Linked DNA regions of Arabidopsis thaliana. The protein of the gene in region 2 interacts with the protein of the main gene of each other region in a biochemical or structural test. Each region holds a gene or a part of one and is shown on either strand. Other genes may lie near its edges.

The links. The genes of interacting proteins can lie anywhere in the genome.
Region 1: the proteins of ABI3 (region 2) and AIP2 form a complex in vitro, tested with the Arabidopsis thaliana proteins (2 studies listed by BioGRID, with this or other methods).

What each region holds. Positions count from the first base shown.
Region 1 is NC_003076.8:7,091,979-7,096,423, reverse strand, and holds AIP2 (RING/U-box superfamily protein), read left to right. Parts: upstream 1-1,920; 5' UTR 1,921-2,113; coding exon 2,114-2,281; intron 2,282-2,553; coding exon 2,554-2,758; intron 2,759-2,846; coding exon 2,847-3,043; intron 3,044-3,317; coding exon 3,318-3,530; intron 3,531-3,611; coding exon 3,612-3,761; 3' UTR 3,762-3,912; downstream 3,913-4,445. Other genes in the region: EIF2 BETA (eukaryotic translation initiation factor 2 beta subunit), read left to right, coding at 1-43, 135-190, 293-347, 442-536, 627-772, 890-1,032, 1,124-1,209, 1,359-1,430; JAZ12 (jasmonate-zim-domain protein 12), read right to left, coding at 4,223-4,319. UniProt on the Arabidopsis thaliana protein: E3 ubiquitin-protein ligase that acts as a negative regulator of abscisic acid (ABA) signaling. Mediates ubiquitination and subsequent proteasomal degradation of the transcription factor ABI3.
Region 2 is NC_003074.8:8,995,777-9,001,719, forward strand, and holds ABI3 (AP2/B3-like transcriptional factor family protein), read left to right. Parts: upstream 1-1,593; 5' UTR 1,594-2,134; coding exon 2,135-3,814; intron 3,815-4,014; coding exon 4,015-4,107; intron 4,108-4,252; coding exon 4,253-4,353; intron 4,354-4,486; coding exon 4,487-4,533; intron 4,534-4,650; coding exon 4,651-4,727; intron 4,728-4,839; coding exon 4,840-5,004; 3' UTR 5,005-5,409; downstream 5,410-5,943. UniProt on the Arabidopsis thaliana protein: Participates in abscisic acid-regulated gene expression during seed development. Regulates the transcription of SGR1 and SGR2 that are involved in leaf and embryo degreening.

The DNA.
Region 1 (4,445 bases), on a different chromosome or scaffold from region 2:
TTAGCAGAGTCTTCACAGACTGAGAAATCTGATTCATTGCCTGGTATGTATGATGAAGAGTCAATGTGATGTGAAACATTTTTTTTGTTTCAATGGTCTTTTGTGTTACTTTGTCTAATTCCTTGTTTTTGCAGTTAATGATGGTCTTGAGAGTTCATTTACTGGAATGAAGAAAAAGAAGAAGAAGCCAGTGAGTATTGTTTTACGTTTTGTGCCTAGTATTTTTTTTATGTCATTAAACTTGTGTGTTTGATGATTCTGTGACTCACATTTGTTCTTGTTTGATATTTAGACTGAATCAAGCTTATTGAACAACGAAAGTGTTGATGCTGGGGAAGATTTGGATGGTACTTTTAATATCCTTTTTTTTTGTTTGCTAATATACCTTTTCTCTTGGCGGGGTTTTTATCCTGTTTGAATCTTACTGAGAATATATTGCAGAGATTGCTAATGACGAGCAAGAGGGGGAAGAAGGAATAGTTCTACAGCAACGTTACCCCTGGGAGGGAAGTGAGAGGGATTACATATATGACGAGGTGACTATATTTTCGATGATTTCTTTTGTTTTAATCCTTCATAAATATCTTGCTCCCTTGTTTTTTTGCTGACGGGAGTTATATATGCAGCTTCTTGGTAGAGTCTTTAACATTCTCCGTGAAAATAATCCGGAGCTTGCTGGAGATAGGCGTCGTACAGTTATGAGGCCTCCTCAAGTTCTTCGTGAGGGGACAAAGAAGACTGTCTTTGTCAACTTCATGGACCTTTGCAAGACGTATGAGCTAACTCTTTATCTTCCTCTTCAAACTTTTTCTGTGTAACCATAAGTAATATTACCATTTAATTTTGATGACTTTTCGATGACATGTCTTATCTGCATATAAAAAATCAGGATGCATCGTCAACCAGATCATGTTATGCAATACTTGCTTGCTGAGTTGGGTACTAGTGGTTCGCTTGATGGGCAGCAAAGGTTGGTTGTTAAGGGAAGGTTTGCACCTAAGAATTTTGAAGGAATTTTGCGGCGATATATCAGTAAGTAACTTTCTTCTTAGTCTCAAAATTTAAGTTGCCATAAAAGTATATCAGTTTGGAGTTGTTAACCTCTTGTTTTATTATTTCTCAGCTGACTACGTCATTTGCCTTGGTTGCAAGAGCCCAGACACCATTCTCTCCAAGGAGAACCGTCTCTTCTTTCTGAGATGTGAAAAGGTATAAGTTAATCTAATTAGTCCTGATCTTGATATGCATTCCTTTGTTTCTGTTTTACAGTTTTACTTTCTGCGCAACAAAGTAATAAAGTATTTTGTGTGTTTGAATTTGCTAATGTGATTAACGAGTGGGCTACATGGTTTTTGCAGTGTGGATCTCAACGATCTGTGGCTCCGATCAAAACAGGGTTTGTTGCTCGTGTTAGTCGCAGGAAGACTTGAGAAATTAGAAGGTGAAGTGACCTTGGTATGGAGTTTGGAGCTATTCTACTGCTTCTGTATGAGTTTATGAGTTGAAGAAATACTTGTCTTGTTTTTTTTATTTTGTTTTGGAATATGATTATGACTTGACTTTTAAAATGGGATAGGATCAAAACCTTTTACTCTGTCAGGTTCATGTGGTCACCTTGAAGGTTGATTTAGTAAATCCATGGACTTCTTTTTTGTGTTAAGATTATTCTTAGTTCAAAATTAATAGACTAATGATATTAACGTCCACAGGCATTGCGTTCAACATCTCAAATTAAAGCGTGGAAGGCTCAGAAAGTCCAATATACACTATGTTTATCTACAGTTACAATCATACTACAAAAAACAAATAATGTATACGGTTTGGTCTAATATAGCCGCATACGATTTAGTATTTACCAACAAAAAATTGGTCTCAAACCAAACCGAACAATTGGTAATTAACAATTGTTCTTTTGGTCTTGAACCGAACCAAACCGAACTGAACTATATTAACCGACCGACTTCGTCCTTTCCTCCTGATCAAGAAAACTCGTCTCCTACAAAAATCCCAGAAGACAAGAGATTGGTTCTTCTTTTGCATCATTCTTACAAAATCCCCAAAATCATTCGAAACCCCTGAGTATTCTCCTTAACTCTAAGAAATAAATTTCTGAATGGATGCATCGTCTTCACCGTCTCCTTCCGAGGAAAGCTTGAAGCTTGAGCTTGATGATCTTCAGAAACAGCTGAACAAAAAGCTGAGATTCGAAGCATCCGTTTGTTCTATTCATAATCTTCTCCGTGATCACTACTCTTCTTCCTCTCCTTCTCTCCGCAAACAGGTTGGTTTTTATTCTTAGATTTTCGGATCAATAGATTCAAAATTATTCGGAATTGTTAGGGTTTATGCCTGCCTTGACGTTTACTCATTGCTTATGTCTGATGATGGGTTTAACTTTTGAGGATTGAATCAGGAATCAAATATCTTTCTTTTATTGTTTTTCTATTTCAATTGTGGAGAAAGTTCATGTTCATGTCAAAAATTTCATTTAATCCGATCTGTTTTTGTTTAGTTACCCTCTGTGACATAGTATTGATTTGATTGCCATTGCAGTTCTATATAGTTGTATCTCGTGTCGCTACGGTTCTTAAGACAAGATATACAGCTACTGGATTTTGGGTTGCTGGACTGAGTCTTTTCGAAGAGGCTGAGCGACTTGTCTCTGATGCTTCTGAGAAGAAACATTTGAAATCTTGCGTTGCTCAAGCTAAGGAGCAGTTAAGCGAAGTAGATAATCAGCCAACAGAGAGCTCACAAGGTTTGTGAAACATTTAGTTTGGCTTTTGATGGTTTTAAGTGAAATTTATCTGGAGATGATTTTTATTTCTCTTGTGAATTTTTTGCAGGTTATCTTTTTGAGGGACATCTTACGGTTGATCGTGAGCCGCCACAGCCTCAGTGGCTAGTACAGCAGAATCTCATGTCTGCTTTCGCTTCTATCGTTGGTGGTGAATCCTCTAATGGTCCTACTGAAAACACTATTGGGGAAACTGCTAACTTGATGCAAGAACTTATCAATGGTCTTGACATGATCATTCCAGATGTAATGCCTTCTCTTTTCTTCCTTACTAGTTTTAGATTATGTACTATCACACATAGCTGATATCACAAGTTTCTTCACCTAAAGATAGAGATGAAAGCAATTCTTAATCATCCGCATTCTACTCATATGTTGTTTTTTGCATATTGAGTTTCTCCACTTGGTTGTCTCACTCATCTGTATCAAGAGTGTTTAACCTCAACCTCTAATATTGTATTGGTAGCGTCTTTTTCTTAGCTTCATGATTGAAAAGTGATATATGATGTGTTCTATGCAGATACTAGATGATGGTGGACCACCAAGAGCTCCACCGGCAAGTAAAGAAGTTGTAGAGAAACTCCCAGTCATTATTTTCACCGAGGAATTGCTTAAAAAGTTTGGAGCAGAGGCAGAATGTTGCATCTGCAAGGAGAATCTAGTTATTGGCGACAAGATGCAGGAATTGCCATGCAAGCACACATTTCACCCTCCTTGCCTAAAGCCTTGGCTGGTATAAAAAAAAAAATCCCATTCTTTCAAGCTTACTAGTAAGTAAGAACATAAAGCTTATGCTCATATTGTTTTATGGCAGGACGAGCATAACTCTTGCCCTATATGCCGCCATGAATTACCAACAGACGATCAGAAATACGAAAACTGGAAAGAGAGAGAGAAAGAGGCCGAAGAAGAGAGGAAGGGCGCAGAGAATGCTGTCCGCGGAGGTGAATATATGTACGTTTAAATTTCAATCAGTTATGGCACACTCCCATTGTCTTTCCTTGAAACATCTCCGAATTGTTGTTCATCATTCACAATTATAAATCCCATTTTACATATAGATTCAATGTCTTTTGTATGAAAGCTTATAATAACAACACAGACTTCTTTACTTTACACACAATTGTATCTTGAAGAGATGACAAGTTCAATAACATAACATCAAAGAGTCATTAGTTAGATAGACTCTAGGACAGTGTTACTAACTACAATAGTTTCTTCAGTAGAATTGTAAAATGGCAAACATATCTGACCACTCCCAGACATGGAAACAATCTTCGGTTTGTCTAGCAAACCTATACAGACACTATCATACAACACATTACACACAGCAGCGTACATGATAGATTATCATATTAATTACTATATTGACAAAACGTTTTACTTAGTTTGCTTATAAGCTTAATGTGGAGGTTTGATCTTCTGCTAAGCAGTTGGAAATTCCTCCTTGATAGAGACATTGCCTGTTGGGACATCTGTCTTTTTGAAGTCTGAAGTAGGGTAAGGGTTTTTGTTGACCAATCTGCAGATAAAAAAAAGTGAATGTTATTGTTAGATGCAATATCAAGGTTAAACATTATGATCAATCTGTCTTTACAAGTCTCTCACAGGTACATTAACAAGCTCTGTATTAGTAATCAATCAAAAA
Region 2 (5,943 bases):
ACATTATCGAGACATAAATAATAATTTATAGATATATAGCAACAAATTGGAATTAAATTAATCAAACAATGTCATTTAGAATTGGGGAAATCCTAACCGACGTTATATGATTAATTTTAATTCCAATTTATGTATGTGTATATATCTATAAATTATTATTTATATATTGATGATGTTCGTGCATGATGGTAATGGTAACCTTTAAAACTTTTGAATCTCAAAACGTAAAACAACGTCATTTGGTTTGAAGAACATGCCATCTCGACGTACAAGTGTTAGCTGATTCAACAACCGTTACTGTTAATTACCATAACTAACGTTGACTCATAATTATGTACAAAAGTAAGAGTTGAGGTAGATAATTTGAATTTTTTAAATGTTAAAGTATGAACATTACTAATTGTTTGTTCAGATTTATAAAACACAGTACCTATTTTGATGTGTTAAAATGTAATCGGGAAAATAGGAATTTTCCCAAGAAAAAAAAATACACTAAAATTTTGATGTGTTAAAATGTAATAAATACAAGTACCTATTTCTTTCTACAACAGGTATCACATGATCTGCTCAATCTCATTTTGAAGGCAAGGTCGAACCCTGTTTGTAACTAAATATTTTACAAATACACTAAAAGTTTTGTTTTGTTTTCCTCATGCAGAAAAAAGAAAAGAAAGAAGAAGAAAAAAAACTCACAAAAACATACATTGTTCTACAATATGTTAAAGTAATTGTTCTAGGGTAATAAAATCCGTGTCTGCCTCTTCCACTTCAATAGGAAAGTGTAAGTTTTTCGAATCTTTTTGGCCAGATAATTTAAAACCGACCGAGGAAACTTACTTTTGTAAAAGTGACCATTTGCACATAGGAAGTAGAAAGTTGATAATTGGAAAATTTATAATATTTTATACAAAAGAAGTGTTTAAGAACCACCGCTTGGTCTCACCACTCAAATTCGAACGTATGGCTCGTGGGCACAAACTCCTGTACCAACCTTTAGATACTAGCGGCACGAGGAGACTTCTATTTTCTCTTTGTTTTTAAGTTTTTTTATCGACTTAAATATGGCTTTTTGCACCATTTAATTTCAAAACCAATGTCTTTCTCTCGAGGAACTTTGTTTTTATTTCTTAGAAGATGAGGGGAGATTTACTATCTAAATAAAATTTTAAATGTTTGTAAGTATTATGAGCTCAACAATTTTGTCAATAGTGCCACAAATTTAAACGTTTGCTTTTTGTCTTCTTTGAAAAATCAAATGCTGAAAAACTGTTACATCTCTTTTTCTTAAAAACTCTTGTCTCTCTCCTTTTCCTTCTGCTGAGGTAATTGAATGCTGCAAAGAGAAAGAGAATAACTTAAACCCAAAATTACACTTACCGCCAGAAAAAAAAAAGAGTTCAGTTTAATCTAACATATTTTATACAATACAATTGAATTATATTAGTAAAAAAAAAACTTCCATATAAATCATGGAACAAACTGGAACACATGGGCTCTCTTATTTTAATTTATTTTCTTTTTTGAGGGATTTAACCATGTTTATTATATAGTTTTATAAATATATATATACCATCTCTCCATAATTTATAAAATGAAAGAAAGAGAGAGTCTTCTTGTTGGAGTAAACCCAAACGGTTTTAGATTACTTATTAGCTGTTCATCAGTTCTTCCTCTCTAAAAGAGTAAAACCTAAACATCTCTCTCTGTTCTATTAGAACCAAAGACCAATCTTTGTGAACAAAACACATCTCGTATACTTCAGATCTAGACTCGAAAATTTTAGACCTCTTTACAATTGGTCTTTGTTCATCTGAAGTTGGAGAAAATAGTTAGCTTAGGTCGGATCTTTTCATATGCTTTGGATCCTCCTTCGTCTCTTTTGTATAATTTTAACCTTATCAAGAGTTCTTTTTGAATCTCAAAAGATTATATAGTAGTATAGAAGGTTTATATGTATATGTATAGCCAGATAGTTTATGTTGTTTAAAGATTCGATGATAGCCAAGTTGGGTTAACTTTCTTTTTCCTTGCCTCCTTACTCACATACAAACCCTATCTGTCCGTACAAAATACTAAAAACCCTAACTTTTCTCTCTCCACCAATCTAGTTTATTGTTTCATTTCCACTTCAACGATGAAAAGCTTGCATGTGGCGGCCAACGCCGGAGATCTGGCTGAGGATTGTGGAATACTCGGTGGAGACGCTGATGATACTGTTTTGATGGATGGAATTGATGAAGTTGGTAGAGAGATCTGGTTAGATGACCATGGAGGAGATAATAATCATGTTCATGGTCATCAAGATGATGATTTGATTGTTCATCATGACCCTTCAATCTTCTATGGAGATCTCCCAACGCTTCCTGATTTCCCATGCATGTCGTCTTCATCATCGTCTTCAACATCTCCAGCTCCTGTCAACGCAATCGTCTCCTCAGCCTCTTCTTCTTCGGCAGCTTCTTCCTCCACTTCCTCAGCTGCTTCTTGGGCTATATTGAGATCAGATGGAGAAGATCCGACTCCAAACCAAAACCAATACGCATCAGGAAACTGTGACGACTCTTCTGGTGCATTGCAATCCACAGCTTCCATGGAGATTCCATTAGACAGCAGTCAAGGTTTTGGTTGCGGCGAAGGCGGTGGTGATTGCATTGATATGATGGAGACTTTCGGGTACATGGATCTACTTGATAGCAACGAGTTCTTTGACACCTCAGCTATATTTAGCCAAGACGACGACACGCAAAACCCTAACTTGATGGACCAAACCCTTGAGAGACAAGAAGACCAGGTCGTTGTTCCGATGATGGAGAATAACAGTGGTGGAGACATGCAAATGATGAATTCTTCCTTGGAACAGGACGATGATCTCGCTGCTGTGTTTTTGGAGTGGCTAAAGAACAACAAGGAGACTGTGTCGGCTGAGGATTTGAGGAAAGTAAAGATAAAGAAAGCTACGATTGAATCAGCGGCAAGAAGACTAGGCGGTGGTAAAGAAGCGATGAAGCAGCTTTTAAAGCTGATTCTTGAATGGGTCCAAACTAATCACTTACAAAGAAGACGCACCACCACCACCACCACCAACCTCTCTTATCAACAATCATTCCAACAAGATCCATTTCAAAACCCTAACCCTAATAACAACAACCTAATCCCACCGTCCGACCAAACCTGTTTCTCACCTTCAACATGGGTTCCTCCACCACCACAACAACAAGCTTTTGTCTCGGACCCGGGTTTTGGATACATGCCTGCTCCAAACTATCCGCCACAGCCAGAGTTCCTTCCTTTACTTGAATCTCCACCGTCATGGCCACCACCACCACAGTCTGGTCCCATGCCACATCAACAATTCCCCATGCCGCCAACCTCGCAGTATAATCAATTTGGAGATCCAACAGGTTTCAATGGATACAACATGAATCCGTACCAATATCCTTATGTTCCTGCAGGACAAATGAGAGATCAGAGATTACTCCGTTTGTGTTCCTCAGCAACTAAAGAGGCAAGAAAGAAACGGATGGCGAGACAGAGGAGGTTCTTGTCTCATCACCACAGACATAACAACAACAACAACAACAACAACAATAATCAGCAGAACCAAACCCAAATCGGAGAAACCTGTGCCGCGGTGGCTCCACAACTTAACCCCGTGGCCACAACCGCCACGGGAGGGACCTGGATGTATTGGCCTAATGTCCCGGCAGTGCCGCCTCAATTACCGCCAGTGATGGAGACTCAGTTACCTACCATGGACCGAGCTGGCTCAGCTTCTGCTATGCCACGTCAGCAGGTGGTACCAGATCGCCGGCAGGTAGACATGCACAATCATCTTTCTCATTGTTTATTCTTTAATTTAGCAATACTCGAATAGTTTGTGTAATTGCACCACTCGTTTGGTTTGATGAAGAAGCTAAAGATTTTACATGTGTTTTTTTTGATAAAATGTGAATCGGAAGATTATACATTTGCAATGGAAATGAAATGATTTTGATCTTTTTGGTTTGATTTTAGGGATGGAAACCAGAAAAGAATTTGCGGTTTCTCTTGCAGAAAGTCTTGAAGCAAAGCGACGTGGGTAACCTCGGAAGGATCGTTTTGCCAAAAGTAATTTTTCTTCTAATTTCTTGTAGCCTTTGCTTTCCATTTTCTAAAAAAGGTTCAATGTTTGTGTAAAAATATTGTCAAGTTTTTATTTTATTTTTACTCTTATTGGTTAAGTTATATTTTACTGAATTTTTATTTTTTTTAGAAAGAAGCTGAGACACACTTGCCGGAGCTAGAGGCAAGAGACGGCATCTCTCTGGCCATGGAAGACATCGGAACCTCTCGTGTTTGGAACATGCGCTACAGGTAACTGATTATGATGCTAACATGTTAACATTGATTCTTTTTATAAAAACAATTCGTGTATTTTGTCAAAAATTGGAACTCGACCAAAATGTTTTTTCGGTTATTTAATTGTCTTCTTAAATTGGTTTTGCAGGTTTTGGCCTAACAACAAAAGCAGGATGTATCTCCTCGAGAACACCGGTACGTTTTTGAAAATGTACCCGTTAATAATTTTCCTTTCTTTTGGTTTGTTTGTTCTCTTGTAATTATTGTTGTGGACGCATACATATCTAATTTTCCTTGAAATTACGTTTACAGGCGATTTTGTGAAAACCAATGGGCTCCAAGAAGGTGATTTCATAGTCATATACTCCGACGTCAAATGTGGCAAATATGTAAGAGAAGCATCACAATATTTTTCTATACTTTTCATTAGTATTTAACTCTCATCATTACTTTTGTTGGTATTTATCTTGTCATAATTAATTGAGAATAATATTATGACAGTTGATACGAGGGGTTAAAGTAAGACAACCGAGCGGACAAAAGCCGGAGGCCCCACCGTCGTCAGCAGCTACGAAGAGACAAAACAAGTCGCAAAGGAACATAAACAATAACTCTCCGTCGGCGAATGTGGTGGTCGCTTCACCAACTTCTCAAACTGTTAAATGAAAAACAGAGACAAAAAGAAACAATATAAATATTATTATGTACCAAATAAGAAAGAGGGCAAAAGGAAAAAATGGCAGCGTACCCGAGTGTGCCACTTCTCGTGCATGCATGGGATCTTGAAGACAAATGGAGGGTCATGATTAAAGCTGTTTGGTCGGGGTCCGGGTTTTTACTCCATTTTTTGCTTTTTCTTGTCGAGTCGGTTCTTTTATAACTCTTTACTCTTTTTACCTTCAGGATATTGTAGAGATGATTAATTCTGGAAATGGTGTTTGTGTTATATTTCTGGAGAGATGATTATATAGTTCTTTTGTTGTTGTAATTGGTTAATATTACATATGTGGCTCATTTCTTGAGTCGAGCTTACATATCGTTTATAATGTGAATGTTTTAAGAAGAGTTGAATGATACAATATTTTTACACAAACATTGATAATGATAATAAAAATGATAATTAATGTACAAAATTATTTGTAAATATGGACATATGGACAATTTAAGAAGGAATTGAGATAATTAATTTTGTACATTAATTATCATTATCAATGTACAAAATTATTTGTAAATATGGACATATGGACAATTTAATGATAGTAAAAATGATAATTAATGATAATTAATGTACAAAATGATAATTAATGTACATATGGACATATGTACAAAATTATCCATATCATTCACATATTCACATTGTAAATATTTGTAAATAGAATGTTTACATATGGACATTTTAAGAAGAGTTGTTCCTTACCACTTTGATTCTATCATTTTCTTGTTTATCTAGTTAGCTTGAACCCTTTGTATTATTGAGTAACGAAAATCTTTGGAGGAAAAAAACAAGTGAGGTAGGATTATAATTTTCCTCATATAAGTGTGTTGTTTGTGATACATCATTATTCTTTCTTATTTTTGGTTAAACCCAAAAACTGGACCGCACCT